Neodiprion lecontei: one gene and its partner. The protein of the gene in region 1 interacts with the protein of each later gene in a biochemical or structural test. Links are inferred from orthologs where the notes say so. Each region holds a gene or a part of one and is shown on either strand. Other genes may lie near its edges.

Region 1 (10,720 bases):
TACTCTGGAAAATTCCATCTGCCGTTTCTCTATTTTAATACAATTTCATTGTTTTAACTCTTGTACATACAATAAAACTTGAAAATATGATTAATTACAAGCATAGCAATAATAATTGTGAATCAATGATGAGCTTATAAACCTGACAATCTATAACAAATGCTATGCAGTTCCAAGAGATTCTGACAAGATAGCTAATAATAACCATTCGTATTTTATATCTTATGGGGTAGCTGTACAATACACAATGAAATTACGAGTAATTGTAACGGATTTCGTCAAGCACTGAAATCTTAAGAAGTATCTTCATTAACCCTCAGAGCACACAACTATTTTTTCTATCACAGAGCACACTGTGGGTTTGTAAGATTCTCTGCACTCTTTCACGGTCCACCATTTCAAAACAACTTAACCGATCAACTTGAAAAAATTCTCAGATATTCGTCAAACACTTTAGAATCAATCACCATATTTCAATTGCATCGTTAGAAATATTAAAATGAAAAAAAAACCTCACAAAATTGTTTACTTCAATACAAGAAATTTTTGTAAAAAAATGTCATTTCTTCCATTTTTTATATTTTTTACTAGAAATTGGGCTTCCGGATATTCAAAATAAAATTGGAGGATGTGTTCTGAATGTTAATAGGCAAGAGATGTTATAACTAACGCGATTAGTAAATTAAATTGATTTGAATGTAAGCACAAAGATCAGATTTTGGCCGAGTATAGACATAATTAAATTATTCCTATAAATACCAAGTAATCGAACATACCTTTTGTATGTATCCAATTCTCTCAGATAAAATAATATAGATACTGTGTAATTAGTCCAGTCAAATTAGTCCGTAAGCTTTGCAGATAGAATGCGGACAGAGACAACTTTGACGCTCTCTATCTCAAGTAATATTCGAGTAATCGCAAAATCGTAAAGACATAAATTATTCAGAATTTAGTCCCCTACAACTTTTATATGAAAAATTTATCGATAACATCTAAAGGGGGCAATATAATTGACAATAAACATTATTAGACATCAATTTATGGCACTTTTTTTTATTGTAAAACGTTTTCATTCACCGCTATGAAAATATTCTTCCAATAAAAGTTGTAGACAATATTTTTTTCTAAAAAACTAAAAAAAAATCGAAAATCCGACCAATGGGAGCCGAGATATCGAGGATTATCTGTTGTTCAAGATGGCGGCCGATGCACAAGGAAATTTTGTTGGATTTTGGTGTTTTTGGGCATCTCAGATGACCCTCTACTTGCCCTAAAAAATTTGGCTTTTTAATCCGTTTTGTCATTTTCAAGTTCTATTTGACTGGACTAAATACACCTACTCATCGGAATGTCAATTCGAAACTAGATAGGTCCGGTACTTCATTTCATCAATTTGTAATTTTTTGTTACATATGGCATTTCGCTTTGTTTTTCAAGAGTCCTGTAACCTTTTAAAATACTTTTACTAATTAACTAACAAACCTGTATAAAGTTCCACCTTCTATTAGGACAAATCCTTTCAAGTTCAGTAAAAGTTTGTTTGCCTGTTTTTCTGTCAGGTACATCGTAATTGATAGTGGCAGCTTCCTTTGTGCAATTTGAATTTGGATTCTTTATTTTCTCAAAAGCAACGTTAATTAAATCAATTTCTTCATTTTCTGGGACAAATTGATTAGCGATAACAGCTAAAATTGCAGAATCCAATCCACCCGAGAAAAGTATACCAATTTTGGCATGCTTGCAGTTTACTTCTTCACCATTCAGATACAAGCTTATACAATTCCTGCAGTAGTTAGGTTTTTTTCTAACTCTAACTTCGACAGAACTTCTCAGAAACCTTAAAATGTTTTCCACTCTTTGGTATACTTCCTTGTTTTCTAATAGCTGTTCCATTATTTGACTGAAATTTTGATTGTAATCAATGTTTTTGAGATATTGGACATCTTTGATCTCTGGATCGAGATATAGAATTGAATTATCAATTTCTGGTTTGACAATGGTTTCTTTTACATCAATATCCATGTTCAAACTTGTCTCAAGATCTTCAATAATATCTGTGAACCTAAGATTTGGTTCTTTCCATGGATAACAAGTCAAATTGAACTCTTCACAGTTTAAGTTTGTTACAAATATTCCAATTGCTGGTACCTCTGTCATATTTTTCACATTTTTATTCCCAACAGAGCACAATGTCAGCAAAGTCTTGTCCTCGTTCAATTTTATTAATAGACTGTGTCTACCGATCGAATCTCGCCCAAAGTACAAACAATTGTCTGACTTATTGAAGTATATAAAACTATAAGGTCCCTGGACCTCCAACAGTGTTGCGACAACATTTTGGGAAGAACTGAACCTTTTTAGCAGTGTCGTTGTATCACACTCTGTATCGCTTGCCTAAAGAAAGGAATGGATTTTTTGTGTGACATAATTTTGGTACATTTTACAAAAAATGTTCTGAGCAACACATTGAGACGTGTACCTTGGCATACATCATTGCCAAATTTTCTTCACCTAGTATAATATGCGATTAAAATGATTCAATTCCCCGAAAGTTACCATATTATCTCGGACAATTAAGGAAACAGTGAAGATAAAATTTTGGAATTTTTGTCTAGGTTAGTAATTTGCGACTAATGTTGTTGTCCAATTTTGAGTGATTTCTTGTTTTTCCCCGACTTAACCCTTTGTGGCACAGCATCTTACATATGAGACACCTTTTATGAATTGGTTATTCAAGATTTATATTCAATTTTTGAGATATCACTGTCATTTTTTTTGCCTAATTTGTCTTCTAAGATGTCAATGTTGATGTTTTAAGAGGGGTTATGATGATTCCACGAATACAATGAGCACTATAAATAAACAGTTTTGAAAATGCTTGTTTTTACAGAATAAATGTAGTTGTGGGAAGGCTGTGGGAACCAGCAAAGTGGAACTCGTTAATCCGATATCAAAATTTGAAAATTCAGAATAGCGGATCCAATATGGCAGTCTAGGAAAAGATAAAAATTGATCATGCTGGCTTGAAATTTGTTAGTTCGAGGGTTTTTGGCGACACTGAAAACGAATCCGATGTCGGAATTGCAAAATTCAAGATGGCGGACTGAAATCATAAAAATTGATCCTATTCACTCATATTAGATCCACCATTTTGAATTTTGAAAATTTGTCAGATTTGACCACATTTTTGAAATCAGCAATGTGGCGAACCCTAATGTACCGAGCTTTAAGAAATTTGACTGCAAGGAAAAATGTATGCTTCAGAGGGTTAATTGCCATCAGCTGATTGTTAATAAATTTTGAAAACAAGTACAACACATTGTTACAGAAAATATTACCAAATCTCTTTGGTAGGAAGAACTACTTGGAGGTTTCAGTATAAGCAAGTTTAATAAATATGAGATGTTATAGCATTTTTTTTTTTTATTGTTCATTAGTATAATAATCTTGTTCAAGAACAGAGTGTGGGCTAGTTATAAACGCATGATGCCCTTTATCCTGTGTCGGGAACAACATATGATATTGACAAATAATTTTGCAGTTTCTTTTTACTGCAAATATTCCAGTCATGGAAACAGTGGAAATAGAATTCAGAACAAAAGGCTTCATACTTTCACAAAACTTCTTGATTTGCTAATGTGTTCACTCACCAAACTTCCATTAAAAACATCTCCATTCCACAGTAGGACATTACCATTAACATCAGAATCTGTACATGGCTGCATGACAGGGTTGCTTCCTTGCATCCATAAAATGCTCGCTGCAAAATGGCCGTCCCACTGTTTGGCTAATCTTCGGAATAGTTCCGAAGTTCCATCAGGACCTCTGGCATTCATTGCACCTTTGCACTTTGTCCACTGAAATAATTATTCTATATAATACCAATTGTCTCACAATAAGGAGGTATGAATGAGAAGACGGGTGAATAAGCGGGTGAATTAGGGAATTCAAGTATTCACGAGCAATTATACAAATTAATTCGGGTGTCTTTTATTCAAAAATATATAGATCAAGCTTGATTTAATGAGTTTTTCATTGGAATCTATTGATAGGTAGCATTGCTATCGACAATAACGTCAACTATTTCGTTCCAAGACATGTTTTGTAGTATCTACGATATTTCTAAAATAGTACAACCAATTTATTTCACATTTGAGGAAACTATTTTCAAATAGCTTATTCACTTTACCACGATCTCACCTTTGTACTAGTCTTCTTTTTTCTTTTTTTGTTAAGGCAATAAAAAAGTTAGATATTGGCTGAAAAATAGAATTTCAACTTAAAATGGGCACAATTATGCTACCGAGACAAAAAGGTCGTGATGTTGAGGATAAACTGTCCAATTACACTGTTTCCAAAGTTGAAATAAATTGGTTGAGCCATTTTTAAGATTCCGTGTATACCGCAAAACATGGCACCGAGTGAAATAATTAATGTAAGTATAAGGCACAAATCTCATGATCTGCATTCTGTCTTGGAAAAGCGGTACTACCATGTATTCAACACTCCTCCTGGTTAATTATTTTAATTTTTTAATTTTTAAGTTAGTTTAACTTGAGTTTTTGCATTGCAAAAATAAACTCAAATTTAATTAAACTATTCAATATTCCAAAAATATTTATATTTGTGCAATTTCACCAAAATTAAATTGTTTGCAATTACTCCTGGGCAATCACACTAGGTCAATTTGTCCCAAGCAGAGTTATACTTGGGAATTCCCGACAAACCGAAAAGGAATAAGGCGCAGCTTCCATTTCCAAAAAAACTTCGTACAGGTAAGTTCTGGCCGTCCTCCACCCATTTGTTCTTGAGCTACAGCGGTTTAAACTTGAGGGGACAAAAACGACCCCGTGCAACCGCCGTCTGAGTAAAACTTGGGATTTAAAAGTCTTTTTGATCTTTTTTTTATTTAAAAGACTTCTAATGGTGCATTAAAATGTGTAAATCAATGTCTTAATTGACTGATTTCTTTATGTCCAAACAACAGGTATAAGCATTCTTTTCCAAAAGAGCAATTCATTTTTTTTTTACTTAGTGTTAGTTTTCATTTCTAATTTCGTGTTTGCTTAAAGATAATATTATTTTTGCAATAAAAAATGTTGTTCGATTTATTTTTCATAAAAATCATTAATTTGCATCTCTTTGAAATTGTGCATTTCCAAGCTATCCAATAATTATAGTTTGGGGCAGAAACGATCCAAACTCAATTATTCTTGAACATTAGGGTGTCCATGACAACAATCCATGGTAATTTGTTGTTCAGTATAGCACATTTTTTACTTCTTGAAATTGAGGCCAAAACATGGTTTTCTGGCGTTTTCGTTCAGATACTAATGCATAATATAAGATACAATAACTTTTGTACTCAAATAATTATGGGTTCGATTTTAGAAAGATTCAAGAGTATTCATGTATTTTTTTAGAAGTTCTTAAGCAATTTAACACGTTGACAACTGTACATGGACGGCGCACCCAGTGTGACTGCGGAAATAGCTAAATTACATTGAGACCACACAGGGTTAAATGTAGAAAGTAACATTTGAATAAGATCATGAATATTCCTTAAAATATGTTAATATACGGCGTGACTCTGGCTAACGCCCTATAAGATAGCTGTAGCAGGACAACTGCCAAGTGCATGTCGATCCGCCAGCTCTGTTCACAACCTACAGATGCTGTCAGATTAACCAATTTTTCAATAACTGTAATGAGCAAATAACAAATCTCCTATCAGTTTCGGTCACAGATTTCTATGTGGAATACATTGGTAGCCATGTAATTCTGAGTAGTTTTATATATTACAGTGAATAAAATTAATTGGCTAACATTTGTTGTGTTACCAAAGCCCCCCGCCAAGTGTAATGCTAAACCTAGCTAGATATTATTTAAAACAACACGATGAAGTACAATGGTTACAATTTGGTGAAAACTCATATAAAATTAAAACTTTGATAGAATGACAAATGAAAAACAAATTCGCTTCGTCTTGCTTAAAGAAAGTTTAGCATGTTTGGCTACTGACAATAAGCTTTATTTCCATCAGCTCTGTAGATTTTACATGTGTATATCCGATCATGGGTTTTTTTTATGACCAGCAATTCGATTAAACAGATTCGTTAGTTTCTCTCTCTTATGTGGAATTTGAAAGTTTCTAGATGCCCGATTCAAAAATTCAAACTATCGTGTGTACGTTGTCATGTGCCTTCGGCAAATACTGGGAGGTAAGTAGTGGTAAAATTTGTTGGAAATGAATTTGCGTGGCGTGAAGACGTGAAAAAACAAATACCTCAGTGCTTTTCGAGTCAATTCCTGCCTTTGAAACATCATTCTGGTCTCTACGAGACACCGAACAATATATTCCACACATTGGTCTGTCAAGTTCACCTAACACTAACCTAACTACACGCTTGAACCGAACCGCAAATCGCGTTACAAACTAGGGTAATCAGCGTCTCTTCTATCGCCGTGGCGGTATCTTAGAGCATATATACATACACAGTATATGCTCTAATGCTTTAAGCTGTTTTCTCACGTGCAGCAAACAGCTGGGATGTGGCAACAGCAAAACGCTCTCATTGGCTGCTTGCTACGTTACTATACTCCCTATACTCTTTGGTTATAAGCACGGTCTTAATAGACAGGTCTGGGAACTCCGACTATAAAAACGTGCTCGAAAATGAAGCCAATGTTGTGAATTTTCGCCGCTAGCGCTAGTGAAGGAGAGGCCTACTTAGGCCGTGTTCGAAAATTGACTGACAGTACTGTCAGCAATCTTTTATCTCTTTTGCGCTTCCAAGTTCGTGGATAGCTCTGACTCTGTCCTAGGGAATTTTGAGTACTCTCAGTCAATTTACGAACAAGGCCCTAGTACGCATAGACCTGTAACATCCGACCGGAACATCCGTATGTTTTATCGACTATTATTACTGCATCTTACTTTTATCAACTAACCAAACTCGAAGTACGAGAATCTTGTAACCATAAGGAATTAAAACAACTGACTAACTATTTGGAATATCCCTAGATGGAAATAACTATGACATTCACTAACCAAAGCTTAAAAACCATGTTACGAGATCTTCGCACTACAAAGAGATATAATATTATTATACGTTATTATATATCACTATCATATTAACACCATAATTAACTAACACGATTATATCCAATTATTATATAGCACTCGACAATGCCATTTGTGCATTCGGAGCTGAGAGCTATACTGGGTATGTTTCGATATACACTGCGAGCACTGTTCAGTGCTCTTACTGGGGAGAAATTCGTTCCGTTATAGACGGACAGTATACAGTCGCAGCATCCTAGGGAAATATATGACGTCATAAATCGTCGCCATTTTTCTACTGTGAACACTGGTGCTTTCGAGGTAAGGTGCTCTCAGTGCTTTGATCACGTGATCAACAGCGTTCAGAAATTGAACAGCTTCCACTATTGATAATTATTATTATTGAATATTGTCATTTAAAAATATCGGCCGTTAAAAACAAAAATGGAAAATTTGAATAAATTGTGTTTATTGCAATGTGAAACAAATATTATGTATGAAATGAAATTAACGCCAAAAAATGTCGATCACAGTATACTGTACTGCGTTCCGTTTTAAGCAGTAACCAGTATAGCTAACTATACAGGAACGGCTTGGCAGTATACTAAATTGACGACACACCTTACAGTGCTCGCAGTGTATATCGGAACATACCAACTATAAGCAACTTACGCCATACCATATAGCCTGGAGTATAGAAAACTGTAAAACCATAGATAAATATATAACCAATATAATGTAAAGATAGCACTGCTGCAATAACCCATAAAACCAGAGACTGCAAAACCTTCAAAACCGTGAATACTAATTATCCAGCATGAACTATACCTTCCTCCGTAACGCCGTATTGAAGGCAACACGAGCAACGTTTTGAAGGCAATGCAGATCTCCAATGTGGAGCCATACAGAGCTTCATCTAGAGAACACATTAGGAAACTTACCGACGAAACGATTGAAGGTAAATCAACTCGTAATAAACTCAAAGATGCATACGTGGCAACGCCCAATGACAGGCAACCAACAAACATAAGAAAAACGTTCTAGAAGCTTCCAAGCCGATTTATATCAATATAAGAATTAATAATTACAGAAGAGAATTATATACGAAAGCACACATGTAAACCTGCTCTAAAATTATGGATTATCAAATTGTTAAATACCCTAAATCTGTTAAGATAATTATAACACAAACACCTAAGAATATTCGCAGCAGCGCGATTTTAATAATGTTAAGCAAATAGCAACTATGTCTCATAAAAAATCGCTATTGTACTCCAGGTGAATACCGACAGTAATCAATTATAATACATATGTAATTTTATATAGATACACGCTATAAAACTAACAAACGACGAGTGACCAATATGACATATGGACTTTGTAACGAGCAAGATAGTAAAAATATTAAGAAGTAAACAGGAACTAGAATTAAGCGCATCGTGACCCTGAAAATGCACACGGCACTAACATAAAACATGAGTCACCACTAGCGCATACGCACTGCGATTACTATATTAGGAAATAGCTGCCAATAGCACAAGACGGGGGAAGAAGCACAGTAGCCGAGGGGCCAAGGGGGGCTTGCGCCCCAACAACAAAGCCCACGCAGAATGGAAAATTACAGAACAACGACCCCGCACCTACATCACCGCACCAGTGCAGCGTTATACCATATGTAAAAACTTGCAATATAGTAATAGCTAATGAACTAAGATCACAGGCGTGCATGCGGCGAGGAGATCGTGTCCTAATTAGAATTCCTAGAGAAAGGGGAAGGTGCGCAAAAGGTGACAAAATCTAAAGAAGGGGATCGTTCTGCGCAACGATCGACCCCTATAAAAACGGCCACCGATCACCCGATCGTCTTCTTGGTTTCTACCACCAGATTCGTCATCTTGTTCCGGTACAGTCTCGCGGTAAAATCCTTTTGCCTTTTGCATTTAAACTTTTCATACAACGTTACTCTGCCCAAAAGTCCAGCGAGCTTTCAGCTCCATTTTGTCATATTAATTTAAGATCTTACACTAAGTAACTCCGTTTTTGTGACTTGAAATATTGAACTTGTAAAATAAATCCAAGTTAATCAAAGTATCCAAATATATTAGAATCAGTTATTCCGTTAAATCCTCTCACCAATCTACGCTGTAAGTCATCATATCCAGAGTATTCTCAAGAGGTAAGCCAATTAATTAAATTTTTTATCCAATAATTACTCCTTCCTCGGTTCGTTCGATTAGAGCGACAGAATGCCCGTTGTCCGGTGTATTTCAATACTTTATCGGTAATTGGTGACCCAAACTACTGATGTGAGTCTAACTGTGGCTGTGTGAATGATTCCGGTGTCTAACATCTGGAAATTTCCACCAGGTACCGTTCCGACGTCACATATAAAATTTTTTTTTGGTGCATCGGCCGGGAAACCAAACGTTATAATCGCGAAAAACTTTTTGTGACGCGAGTAGCGACCGACGGACGGCGGAAGTTTTGCGCGCTACCGACACGAACTGAAAATCATCCTAATCTCGCTCGATTTAATAAAATAACTCAACAAACCTGAATTTTAATACCCGTTAACTCGCCAAAATTCTAAAAATCAATGAGTCAGTCAAGAATTTTTCCATCCGCTCTGGAAATTTTCCATTCAAATATTTCTTCAATATCGCACCTACTGGGATCTCGTGTCACTGAGATCCCTTGTTTTCATCGAAATACTCTGTCGAACCAAGATTCCAACCTTTAATCGAAACCTCTGACAAATACCCTTTGTTCTCATAACGAATGCTCCCAAAATCGAACGAAATAAACGGAAGGAAACGCGGAACCATAGCAAAGCTTTAGGAACAATATACTCAGCCGATTATATTAAACGATCCGCACGAAATCCCGGACTCTGTAAAGGTCTGATATCTCAATAAACCGCTGAATTCTAACCATACCATCGGAACTTCTGAAGATATTTGCTATTACACGGGAGATACAGAAGAACGAATAAAAGAAAGAAATAAGCTGTTCGAGCCCCCAACGCGACCCAGAACGATTAGCGAAGAAGACGCAAAGATTAGGAAAAAGGCAAAAATTATTTCTGAATACCTCACGTTCAAACTTCCAACGATTTCCACCTCCTTTTCCTCCGACACGGAATCTAAAAGTTAAAATAAACCTTATTAACAAAAATTCAAATTCAGTCATCACATACGCATCGGTTATTGATCGGGAACCCATAAAATAAGGAGAGTTGTTCAGAACATCACAGCACCCCAACTCGTTATCCATATTCATAAAAACGAGTCAGAAATATTTTTTTTTTATTACTCTCAAGCTCCCCGCTATCAAACCTGTCCTGTCTCTCTTTCGTCTCAGCAGTCCCCGGAATTGTCGCTATTATACGAATCCCGAACAATTAATCCCCACTTCCAACCCAGTTATAAGCAAATAAATCCGATTGTGCAATCCCAACATTAAATGGGAAAGGAAGACCCTCCTGTCGATAAAAACGCTCAGCCGTAGTACATACTCCGCCTTCAGACCGACGACTTAGATCACAAGTTAGTACGCAGGGCACCCAATTATTTGAAGGGCAATTAGAAAATTTAGAGGAGACGAACGCGTCGGGAAACTCAAGTCTCACTCCCAAACAGTCACAAATCTCCAACG
Region 2 (10,253 bases), on another chromosome or scaffold:
TAAAAATACTTATTTCAATGGAGTTATTTTGAAAAAAAAAGTTCCGCTTTTCTTCGACTTTCACGGCTACGAATTATTGAGTATAAAAAATCAACTCCGGGTTCCTTGTTGAGAGAATTTAATGCCCTGCAAGAATATGCGTGAAAAATTATTCCATCTCAAACGGTTCAAAGGTCATAGAATTTTTAACGAAGCAAAATTTTCTCGCGCGTAATTCAAACGTAAAATTTCAAATGGTCAGCGACACCTTCCAAAATTGAGCAAAAAAAATTTTCCCCAACGGTACAATTGTTTCTTCTCAATAAACGGGTTCCTTTCAAGACCACAAGTTCGATAGGTTAGTTTTTTTTTTTTTTTGGCTCACCCTAACAAACAAGCACAAGTATTCGGAAAAGTTTTATTTTCGTTACGTCAACGTAACCAACTCCAACCTCGAAAGGCGAAAACGTGACTTCCGCTCACCTTCAAGCTCGACGACCTTTCCGGCGCGCTTCAGAGCTTTGACGGCCTCGTCGTGAGTCGCTTCCCTGAGGTCCTCGCCGTTGACGGCGAGTATGGCGTCGCCGACGTAGAGTTGCTCGGTGGCGTCCGCGGCCATGCCCTTGAATATCTTCGATATAAGAATGGGCATCTTGTTCTCCTTGCCGCCCTTTATCGATATGCCGAGCCCGTTGTTGTCGCTCTTTACGACGCGTACGACGCGTTTCTGGTTAGCAACGCTGTCCGGTACGTCGGGATCGTTCAGACTGTCTATGTTGTTGTTGTTTATGTTGCCATTGAGGGAACTCGCGTTCTCGCAGCTCTCGTCGAGCGTTATACTCAGGTAATCGTCCTCCAACGACACGAACACTCTGTACCACTGACCCCGCACCTGCGTCTCCATCACCCCCGCTCTTCCCACCCCCGCACCGACGCCCGAACTTCCGGTCACAACCCCCTGACCGCCCCCGCCGCTTCCCGCGCTGTTCAACTCAACCATTTCGATTTCCTCGAATGTCTGCTGGACCCGCTAAACACGAAAAAAAAGATTCAACGCATTACCGACCGTCGGTAAAAACGCAAAAAAGGGTTATGCTGCTCATTGTCGATCTAACTGTCGTGTTAAATCTTCGAAATTGTGATTCTCGTTTTTTACCTTTCCGGTACATGAGTTTCAATTTTTTCAAATAAAGATACTGTACTTTTTTTGCTGATCGAAATTGTGACGAATTATGAACAGGGTCAATTTAAACGGTATGAGAAATTTTAGGGCGTTGGTATTGCTCGTGGGAAAAAAGTTATACCCTCAATTGTTTTTTTCGGTGTGGTTTTACAGTACTGAGAGAACCACCGCGTGTCATCGACATTTGAGGTTAGATACATCTCGATTTATCCACGACGTTGCAGCTCGTGCAGTGGTTCTCATGCCGCTGTGAAAAACCGTATCGAAAACAGAAAACAATCGAGGATATAAAATTGCGCCCACGGTCAATACGCCCTGCAATTTCGTACCGTAAAGATTTCAAACCGCAGCTATATATTGCATTATCTACACCGATCGACGAATCTATTTACGAAATATTTGAATAAATTGCCTTCGGTAGATTATTATGCTTCGTATCAATTCTTTTGGTGAACTGGATAATAGATACACAGAATATTATTTATACACGTAGGTACATGTAATACGATTCGTATTCGATATTCCAATTTGTATGTTTAGTGTATAACTTGTGTGTTAATTTTTGTATCTTTTGAGGTTAAAAAAGCATACGTGATAATTATTAAAAATATATAAAAATTATTTTAAAAAATCACGAACCGGAAAAACAATTTTAACGACTCCACACAGAATAAGCATCTTATATATAGCGTAAACTTTACTTGCGAATGCAATTATAAGAATTTAAGGTCAGATGTTCGGTTTATATAAAGGTATAGGTGAAAGTTCATGAATATAAAAGGCACGATTTAAAAAAATTATGATAAAAGTAGTGAAAAATATTGACGGCAACGAGATAGAAAGGTATAGGTGTATTGAAGTAAATGCGAAAAACGAAAAAGGAAGTGGAGAGAAAAGAAAAGACAAGAGATTGGTGTGTAGGTATATGGGGCATTCCGTGACATCTCGATCAAGATTCTACGTCGATGTCTCAGATTGACTTTATAGTTTTTTCGTATAAAAGTACACGACGAAAAACGCGATTGTAATTTTTTTTTTAGAATTTCCGACCCAGCGTATCTGAATTATGATTTAAAAATTTGAAAAAGCAGAAACCCCACTTTCTAAAATCTGAAAAATCTTGTAAAATGTAACAAAATTTTTGACACCTATTAAAAGTTGGAGATTTCATAACGTCGAGAAATGAATAATAAAAATGAAAAAAAAAATACTGCTATTACATTGCATTTTCGACACAAGAATTGACGTACAAGCTCATTATAATATCTCTCCGAGTAGATATTTTCCGGATTTTTTATGAATTTGTTCAGATTTTCGATAGTTAAGTTTGTTTTTCAAGTTTTTAAATTATACTTCAGATACGCTGGGTCGAAAAATTCTGAAAAAAATTGCGATCGCGTTTTTCGTCGTGTACTTCCATAGAAAAAAATTATAAAGCCAATCTGAGGCATCGAAGTAGAATCTTGATCGACATGTCATGGAATGCCCCGTATACATATACATGAATACACGAGAGAAAGAAAAATGTAAGAGAGGGGATGAGAGTTTCCCAAGGAGGTAACGAACCGACCAACGAGTTTTCGAACGAATTGAACGAACGCTGCTGCCCGCCACGTGCGCTGCTGGCTTCTGTTGCCTGATGATGCTGCGTCACTGCTTGCAGAAAACTTCACCCTCGATACGTATATACGTGTACAATTGTACATACTGCGCATAGGATAAAAGAAAGAAAATAAAACCAACGTGGAAGAAAAACAAAAATCCAAAAATCCCCGCGTAAATCTTGCGACGAAATAAGCGTGAGAGAATTAAGAGAAGAGAAGAGGCAAAAAAAAAAAGAAGCAGAAGGAAAATAGAAAAAAACGTGGGACGAAAGAGAACAAACGAGATATAATTGAACGAATTAGAACGCGGATAGAATCATTTAGTGCAAATAACTGTATATAAAGTATAATAGTTGTACAATTGCTAACTTCACGAATGTTAGGAGAATTACATACGTACAGGGTGTACAGTTATTCAGCGAAAAAAACTATTTTTCAGACAAATGTCAGAGGATGATACATAAATAATCATACAGTTTTCGGCGATTTCTTGTACATCTTGTACAATAATATATTGAAAAAAACCGGAACCCGATTTATTGCGACAGATTTTCATATGAGCTTTTTAAATTGACTAACAACAGCTGACAGTAAGAAGAATTCTATTTTTCCGTCAGTTTGAAAAAACAAACAAACGGAGAATAAGAATAAAAATACAAAAAAGTAACCGAACTATTTATAAGATAAAAGAGTCTAATTAGAAAACTAACGAACCTCCGTACATAATCTTCCCCCTCATTTGTCAAAGTTAACACTCTCATTATATTATACCGGAGTCCCCTTAAATTCCTGCGTGACAACTATCTAACACACCTATATACACAGGTATATTGTACACGTGTGTGTGCCTCGCAGGTATAATTAAAACTTTTCCGGTTATATTTCGTACAACGGTGGCGATGTGTTTGCCATTGAAATTGAGTCGTCAACAATTATTTGCTACTTGGAAACACTGAATTCAGCAATTAGTTACAAAATTTATACATCATACAATCAGCATGCTGCTGTTTAACGCTGAATTGAACCGATCGTTAATTCGCAATATAAAAGAGCAGGATATTTCACAAACAAGAATAAAGTTCTGGTAAATTAACTCGAGTTATGTAATTCACCGGATTTCAACTAGATATATATATATATACGCGTGTACGTATAATAGGTACATACATACATTGCGTGAAAAACGTATATGAAACTGCAGCTAAAACGAAAGGTGAACGTAAGGCATACACAATATATAATGAAATATAATACGTATCGACATAAAATATACGTGAAAAAAGAAAGAAAAGTGGAGATAAAAAAATCCTATCACCGACAATTAGAATGAAATAAGAATAAATGTTACAACAACAATAATAACAACAACGACAATAATAATAATAATAATGATAAATAATAATAACTCAATTACCTCGTACAAGAAAAAAAGGCAACGTTATTACCAACGTAAGTTACTGAGATCGATTCGTTATGCAACCGGGCAAACTTAATCAAGGACACAACTATGTAACGATGCGTGTGATATAATAAAAATAACGTGTTTAATGTACGTGTAGTTCAAAGTGTTGGTATTCGTGTAAGGTTTTTTTGCTTTTTCACTCTTTTTTTTCCTCCTCGTTGTCTAATCTTTCGCAAATTTATAACCCTTTCTCACTAATCTGCAATGTAATACGATATTGATTATACGTGAATAGTGATATTTTGTTAATTATTATATATTACCGATTTATGGGCGTGTATTGGCATATATATGACGTTCTTGTCGATTAGCCTATTTGAATTTTCGTAAAAATGTTCTCTTTCTCCCTTCTGTTGTTCAATCATTCGTGCATAGTTTTTGTCCAATTTTTCGAAAAACCCGCCGGTTCTCTGATTCTACGTCACCACTCTTCAATCAAGTACACGGGGTATTACGAAATTCGAGGCTGAGAGAAAAAACTGATTACTGCTAATCCATGACTACAAGAGGCGAACAAGAATTAACGATAATTCTTCATTCACTTGCCACGATTACCCTTGTTGTTGTTGTTATTATTATTATTATTGCTATTTTTATCGTTACGATCTATGTTGTTGATTTCTTTTCTTCTTCTTTCACAGGAAATTGAGGCAAAGTGCAGTGTCAGCGACATTTCGGTAATAACAAACTCCAGTCGTCGGATTCCGGCTACCGCAGACACAATAATTATTACGCCGAATATCCGTGTCCGGAGTCTCGCAATAATTTATTTATAAATATTGTGAGAGTTACTCAATTGCACATTTCAAGCAGAATAACGAATCAATCCTCGTCTTAGATTCACTCCGCAATGACCCGCAATTACTATTATTCTTTCGAGGCTAAAATGCGCCACCGCACGCTACGAATTATTTCTACTACAATGATAAACTTTGAAGGATGGCGACGCACCGATTCGTTCTTAGGAATCAATCAATTAACAGTAATTTTGCAGATATAAAACTTGGAAAAGAAAGGCGAGCGAGAAAATAGATTGAGAAAAATAAAAGAACGCGAACGCGTTTTTCACCTGTTTACTTATTCACCATCCGTCTATCTTGTTTTCGACTTCTAGCTTCTAGCTTCTAGCTTCGTTTATCTCAGTTCCCCGTAGTTTCCTTTCCACCTTTAACCAAAACTGTGACGATAAGAATTGCCGATAATAACGGAGAGCTCGGTACGCGTCCGGCTATCAACGATCAACGTGTTTGTTACAAAACAATCGACGATCAGGGGCTAACTTCAAGGCGTCCGAACCCGGCAGCCCGACAACTGAGCATCGCCGACCGTTCGAAATTCCCCGATATCCCTGGTTTTGGCGGGCTTTAAGTTTCTCACACACCGTCCGAAGCACTTCACGAACTTGCACACACACACACTCACAGGCCTTTTTCACAAGAAAAAAAAAAAATAAACACACTCGGCGCTGTTAATCGCCGACTTTCACTCGTCGCCGACTTCGCGTTGTTTACCACTTGCCACTCGGCCGCGCCGATCCGTTCCTAATCCCAGTTTACAACACGCCTCGGACGAGTTCGGGCGATTCTGAGAGGCCGGTTTACTCACTACACGGGAGAATTCCACTCGAGCATCGCTCAACGCGTTTAAAGTAACCGCGACGCAAAATCGCCGCCCAAACGAATGACAACCGAACACGTTTCACCGACGCGATCAGCGCCAGACTGAGCCGGAATCTCGAGGGCGGCACGAGCTACCGGCGTTCGAATCGCTCGTTACCCGCCGGTGAACCCGACGCCGAATACCGGCGACCCTCGACGCCAGCGACCCTCGCGGATCGTATCCGCACTTGTTGCGCCGCGCTGTCTCTCTCGCACCCCCCTCCCTCTCGACACCTTCCACCTTTCGACGTCCCCCCTCCTTTGCCGCTCGCTATCGACTCGACCTAACGGCTTTTTCGAACTTCCCGCCCCCAAAATTCCACACCAGGGTTTTTACACCGGAGGTGATAGGAATGCGACTGCTCACAGTCACGGATTTAATCAAGACGTGTAATTCGTAGTTTACAGTTTTCTAATGCACGGAGAAACGAGATCGTTCCAAACTTAGCGAAATTATATCATTTTCAATTAGTAGTCGGCCAAGGAGTTCGGAAAATTCGATGAAGCGATTGATATACTTACATACATCAGATTCTCGATTACCGATTAGGCAAGATGACGGGTTACGATTTAACAAAATTTTAAATCAATTTATTATTGATCAGAAATAAGAAGAGTTTGTAATACGATTTTCTGATTTGTACGATACGGAAATTTGTCGTGAAGGCAGCTGTCCTGAAAAAAATCCGAAATACGGCTATCGACCTTTTTGCAATGTGTTCGAAAGTGCCACTGAACTAGCGATTACGGCACCTGGGGCTAACTTCAAGCTGCGCAACTCGTATTTTACAGTTTACTTCTCTTTTATAGAGTTACGAAATAATCGTTTCAAACTTCGGGAAAGTGGATTGTTTACAATTGTACTTCAGTGTCGTCGCTGAAAGAAATTCAGAAAATTAATCAAAAGATCGAGTGTACTTATGTCAAATTTTCACTCTATACTTTGAGATTATACGCTATTGATATCTGGGTACCGTGTTTCACTATGCTTTTTTTCTTTTCGCATCAATTTTTTACCACTTTTCTCAAATACTACACAAGCAGAGTGGCAAAGACTATGATTTTCCAAAATTAGAGCGGATTTTGTGAAATTCTAAACCGAACGAATGTATAAAACACGACTTTCTCCCTTCACTGACACTCCGACAAATCTCCCAGGAACGTAATCCTGGAAAAATCCAAAATATAATTCCCAAGTTGTTTTGTGCAGTGTGGCAGCAATACCCTTGAACCGGCGACGCTCCTGTTGATATGCGACAAGATACACTTATGGACAGTCCGTTTGCCTGCGGTGAGGAAAAAACGAGTTAAGAGCGGAGAGCGGAAAAATAAAGTAATAAAAGAAAAAACGCTGTACATGCTCGGCGTAATGAACCGTGAAAGAATAATATTATTATTAGGAGTAACAGGCTGCAGGATAAAATTTTGAGTAATGGCTCGTCAAGTGTGACAGCCAGAAATGATCGATCGTGTACATAAAGCCGGCAGTCTTACGGGTTAAAGTGATGCGGATATAACGTAATTTTTCTTCCTATATACTTTATTCGCCGTTGCCTGCCCATTGTCAGCTGCAATCTAGAAATTTCTCTCTTTTTTTGTTTTTTCCTTTTTTATTCTTTCTCTATTTATTTTTCTCTCTTTGCTCAAGATCGACGCTCCGATCCATTATAAGAAAAAAATGCAAACTTCGCTACTCAGAGCGCGCCCCTGTGTAATTTTATTATGTGTTCTTATAGTCTCTGGAGCCCAAGCTTAATTACTGCTGAATAGACGCTTCGGATTAAGTTTGAACCTGAGAACGGGAATTCGTGATTCATTTCTTCCGGAAACGGAACACAAGCTTGCATATACATGTATAAATTATTTTGGGCTTAATCAATCGCTAGTTCCCCGAATTATAGAGATGTACTATTCAATTCCAGGAAAATTCCAATTAGCAGCACAATATCCCCTCAAGTGTACCCTCAAAGATTTAATTGAAATTCGGCTTTTTAATAATTTACGATCCAATATTCGATCACACGCAGTACAAAAACGCTGTCAAACAAAATTATTCAACTATTTTTACTAACAAAATGCATTTCATTGATAGTAATTTCAATTTTTTAAGTTTTGCGATCAAATTTTTCGTTCAACATTTATAAACAGTTGAAAGTATTTTATAAAAATACTTTCGAACAACGATCATTCGAAATGTAAATTTCTTTGGAAGATGTTCAGGCGTCGTATTAAGATAGAAAAAATTCTTCACGATATTGAAAAATTTGACGGTCAATCGTTTATTGAGTTGGCGCGGAATACCCCATATACGTAATATATAAAAAGATTATAACACGAGAGGGTGGTAAACTGGTCATAAAACGAGCAACGCTCATTTACCGTCAGGCGTAATTAACAAATGAGTCGGCGAGGGAATAATCCGCTTGTGCTCCATCACCTGCGATCCGCATCCTTTAAAATACGGCGGGAAAACGGCAAGCATGTTTTCTATTTTTTTTTTTTCTGTCTAACTCTCACTTTCCCCCTCTATTTTTTTTTTTTTTTTTTTTGGTTTAAGATATGAATTAAAGAAGATTACAAGCGATAAGAGTAACCCACGTGAGTTGTACATGCATGTATAACTGTATATATTTTCGCGCACATACATCATGTATATACGTACTCCTAATGCTGTTACATTTCTATCTGTACAATCAATATCTTTGAACTACTATACCTATACGTATATACAAGAAATTGAAATTAAAAAAAAATATTATCACGACCTGCAAAGCGGATTGGTTTTCATATCAGGGGGTAAAAAATAAGTGTAAAACAATATTGTCGGAAGAAAATATAAGAGGAATAGATGGAAACGAAATAGTGTATTGCACAGGAACTCTAGAATCGTGAGACTTTCTCGGGCTATAATAGCTACAAGTGTTTGGGACGTTGACGATGTTATTATAGTAGGTCGGGAAAACCAGGTCAAGAGGATTAACTTCGAACGGGCTTTCAATTATCTGCGATTTTTCTTTCGCATTGATATTTCGTTCATTTTATTTCTTCTTCCTTCGAGTTGAAGCTTGATACAATATAGCAACACAGTTATTTAAGAACTATATTTTATCGCACAGGTGAATAAAATAACAAACAAGAAGAAGTAAATGTTTTTCGTGTAGTAGAAATCGGAACGACAGTTCGGGGGGATAAAAATTGAAAAATTTCCCCAGATCCAATTGTCGCGGAATTTCATGAACACACCTCTCGACTAAGGAATAAATTAAGCTCCCAAAATGTCGCTAGTGAATTCGTTGATCTCATCCGTCACCTATCCTAATTATTACATCTACTTAATTATATCGATGAATAAATACCTAATAAATAGAAAGAGTGAAAAATACAGTATGCAAAATAAAAACAACGTAAAAATCAAACAACTGCGGGTAAAGTATTTTTCTCGAACTTTAGTATGAAACTGCAACAATGAGAGAAAATACATGATAGACTTTTAAAGATTCTGCAATCGTTGATAAAAACCTTTGAGTATTTTTCCGTTCGGTGTTTTCGAATAACGAAAATCAGGACAAATTTGCAAGCTGCTTCTCGAAACTTGACGACACAACGTGTAAATTCGCCTAGATCAAGTGGCTAAAAACAGTATCCCGGGAGAAGTGTTAAATTTTCCGCCAATATCCATCCCTGCAAAATTTTCCAGATGAGGGTGCTTCCGGCGTCTGAGATGTCACACTCGGAAGAATTAACCCTGGATATCGGCGGTCCCTTGGCACCGAACGGATGAGCATGAGGAAATCGGGAGGATGGCCTGCAGGACTCATTTGCCATCCAAGTCGAACTCCTTCGCCACGTGGACAACCATCCGCGAGACGAACTCCTGGAGGAGCGGTTGACGCGACTTTCCAACGTCTATCACCTCCTCGTGATTCGCCTCGTGGTTCTCCTCGTAGTCCGTTGGCGATTTGTTCGTTATCAGACTGAAGGCGAAGACCGTCATGTCGCAGTGCCGGGCCATTATGACCTCGTGAACCGTCGACATGCCTGAAAGGTACAAAAAAAAAATAAATAAAAATCTGTCATCACGCCAATAATCCAAACACTGATACTGAAAACATTTTCAATAGTTCTTTCGTGATTTCAAACGACAAATTCGTTTCAAGAGACTTTAGGACGTTTTAGATAGTTCGAAAAGGTTCGTGGACTTTGAATGGCTTCGTGATCATCAAAAAAATCAATCGAAACCCAAGCAGAACTTTGGATCAATTCAAACGATTCAAGTGATCGAATAACTAGACTTGATATCTTAGCTTTGCGTGACTCGAACGAACACGGCCCTAAAAATTACTGCAAGTATTTACTCATCCAAAAGA

What was found.
Region 2: the proteins of asparagine synthetase domain-containing protein CG17486 (region 1) and beta-1-syntrophin interact in a test that uses a peptide from one of them, tested with the Homo sapiens proteins (2 studies listed by IntAct, with this or other methods). The link is inferred for Neodiprion lecontei from reciprocal best matches to the Homo sapiens genes ASNSD1 and SNTB1.

The regions. Positions count from the first base shown.
Region 1 is NC_060261.1:24,799,056-24,809,775, reverse strand, and holds the start of asparagine synthetase domain-containing protein CG17486, read right to left. Parts: upstream 6,579-10,720; 5' UTR 6,371-6,578; coding exon 6,290-6,370; intron 5,796-6,289; exon of another isoform or gene 4,666-5,795; intron 4,510-4,665; exon of another isoform or gene 4,204-4,509; intron 3,861-4,203; coding exon 3,654-3,860; intron 2,398-3,653; coding exon 1,486-2,397; intron 1-1,485.
Region 2 is NC_060263.1:19,319,424-19,329,676, forward strand, and holds the start of beta-1-syntrophin, read right to left. Parts: upstream 4,931-10,253; 5' UTR 4,594-4,930; coding exon 4,492-4,593; intron 1,010-4,491; coding exon 463-1,009; intron 1-462. Other genes in the region: purine nucleoside phosphorylase, read right to left, coding at 9,701-9,924. UniProt on the Homo sapiens protein: Adapter protein that binds to and probably organizes the subcellular localization of a variety of membrane proteins. May link various receptors to the actin cytoskeleton and the dystrophin glycoprotein complex.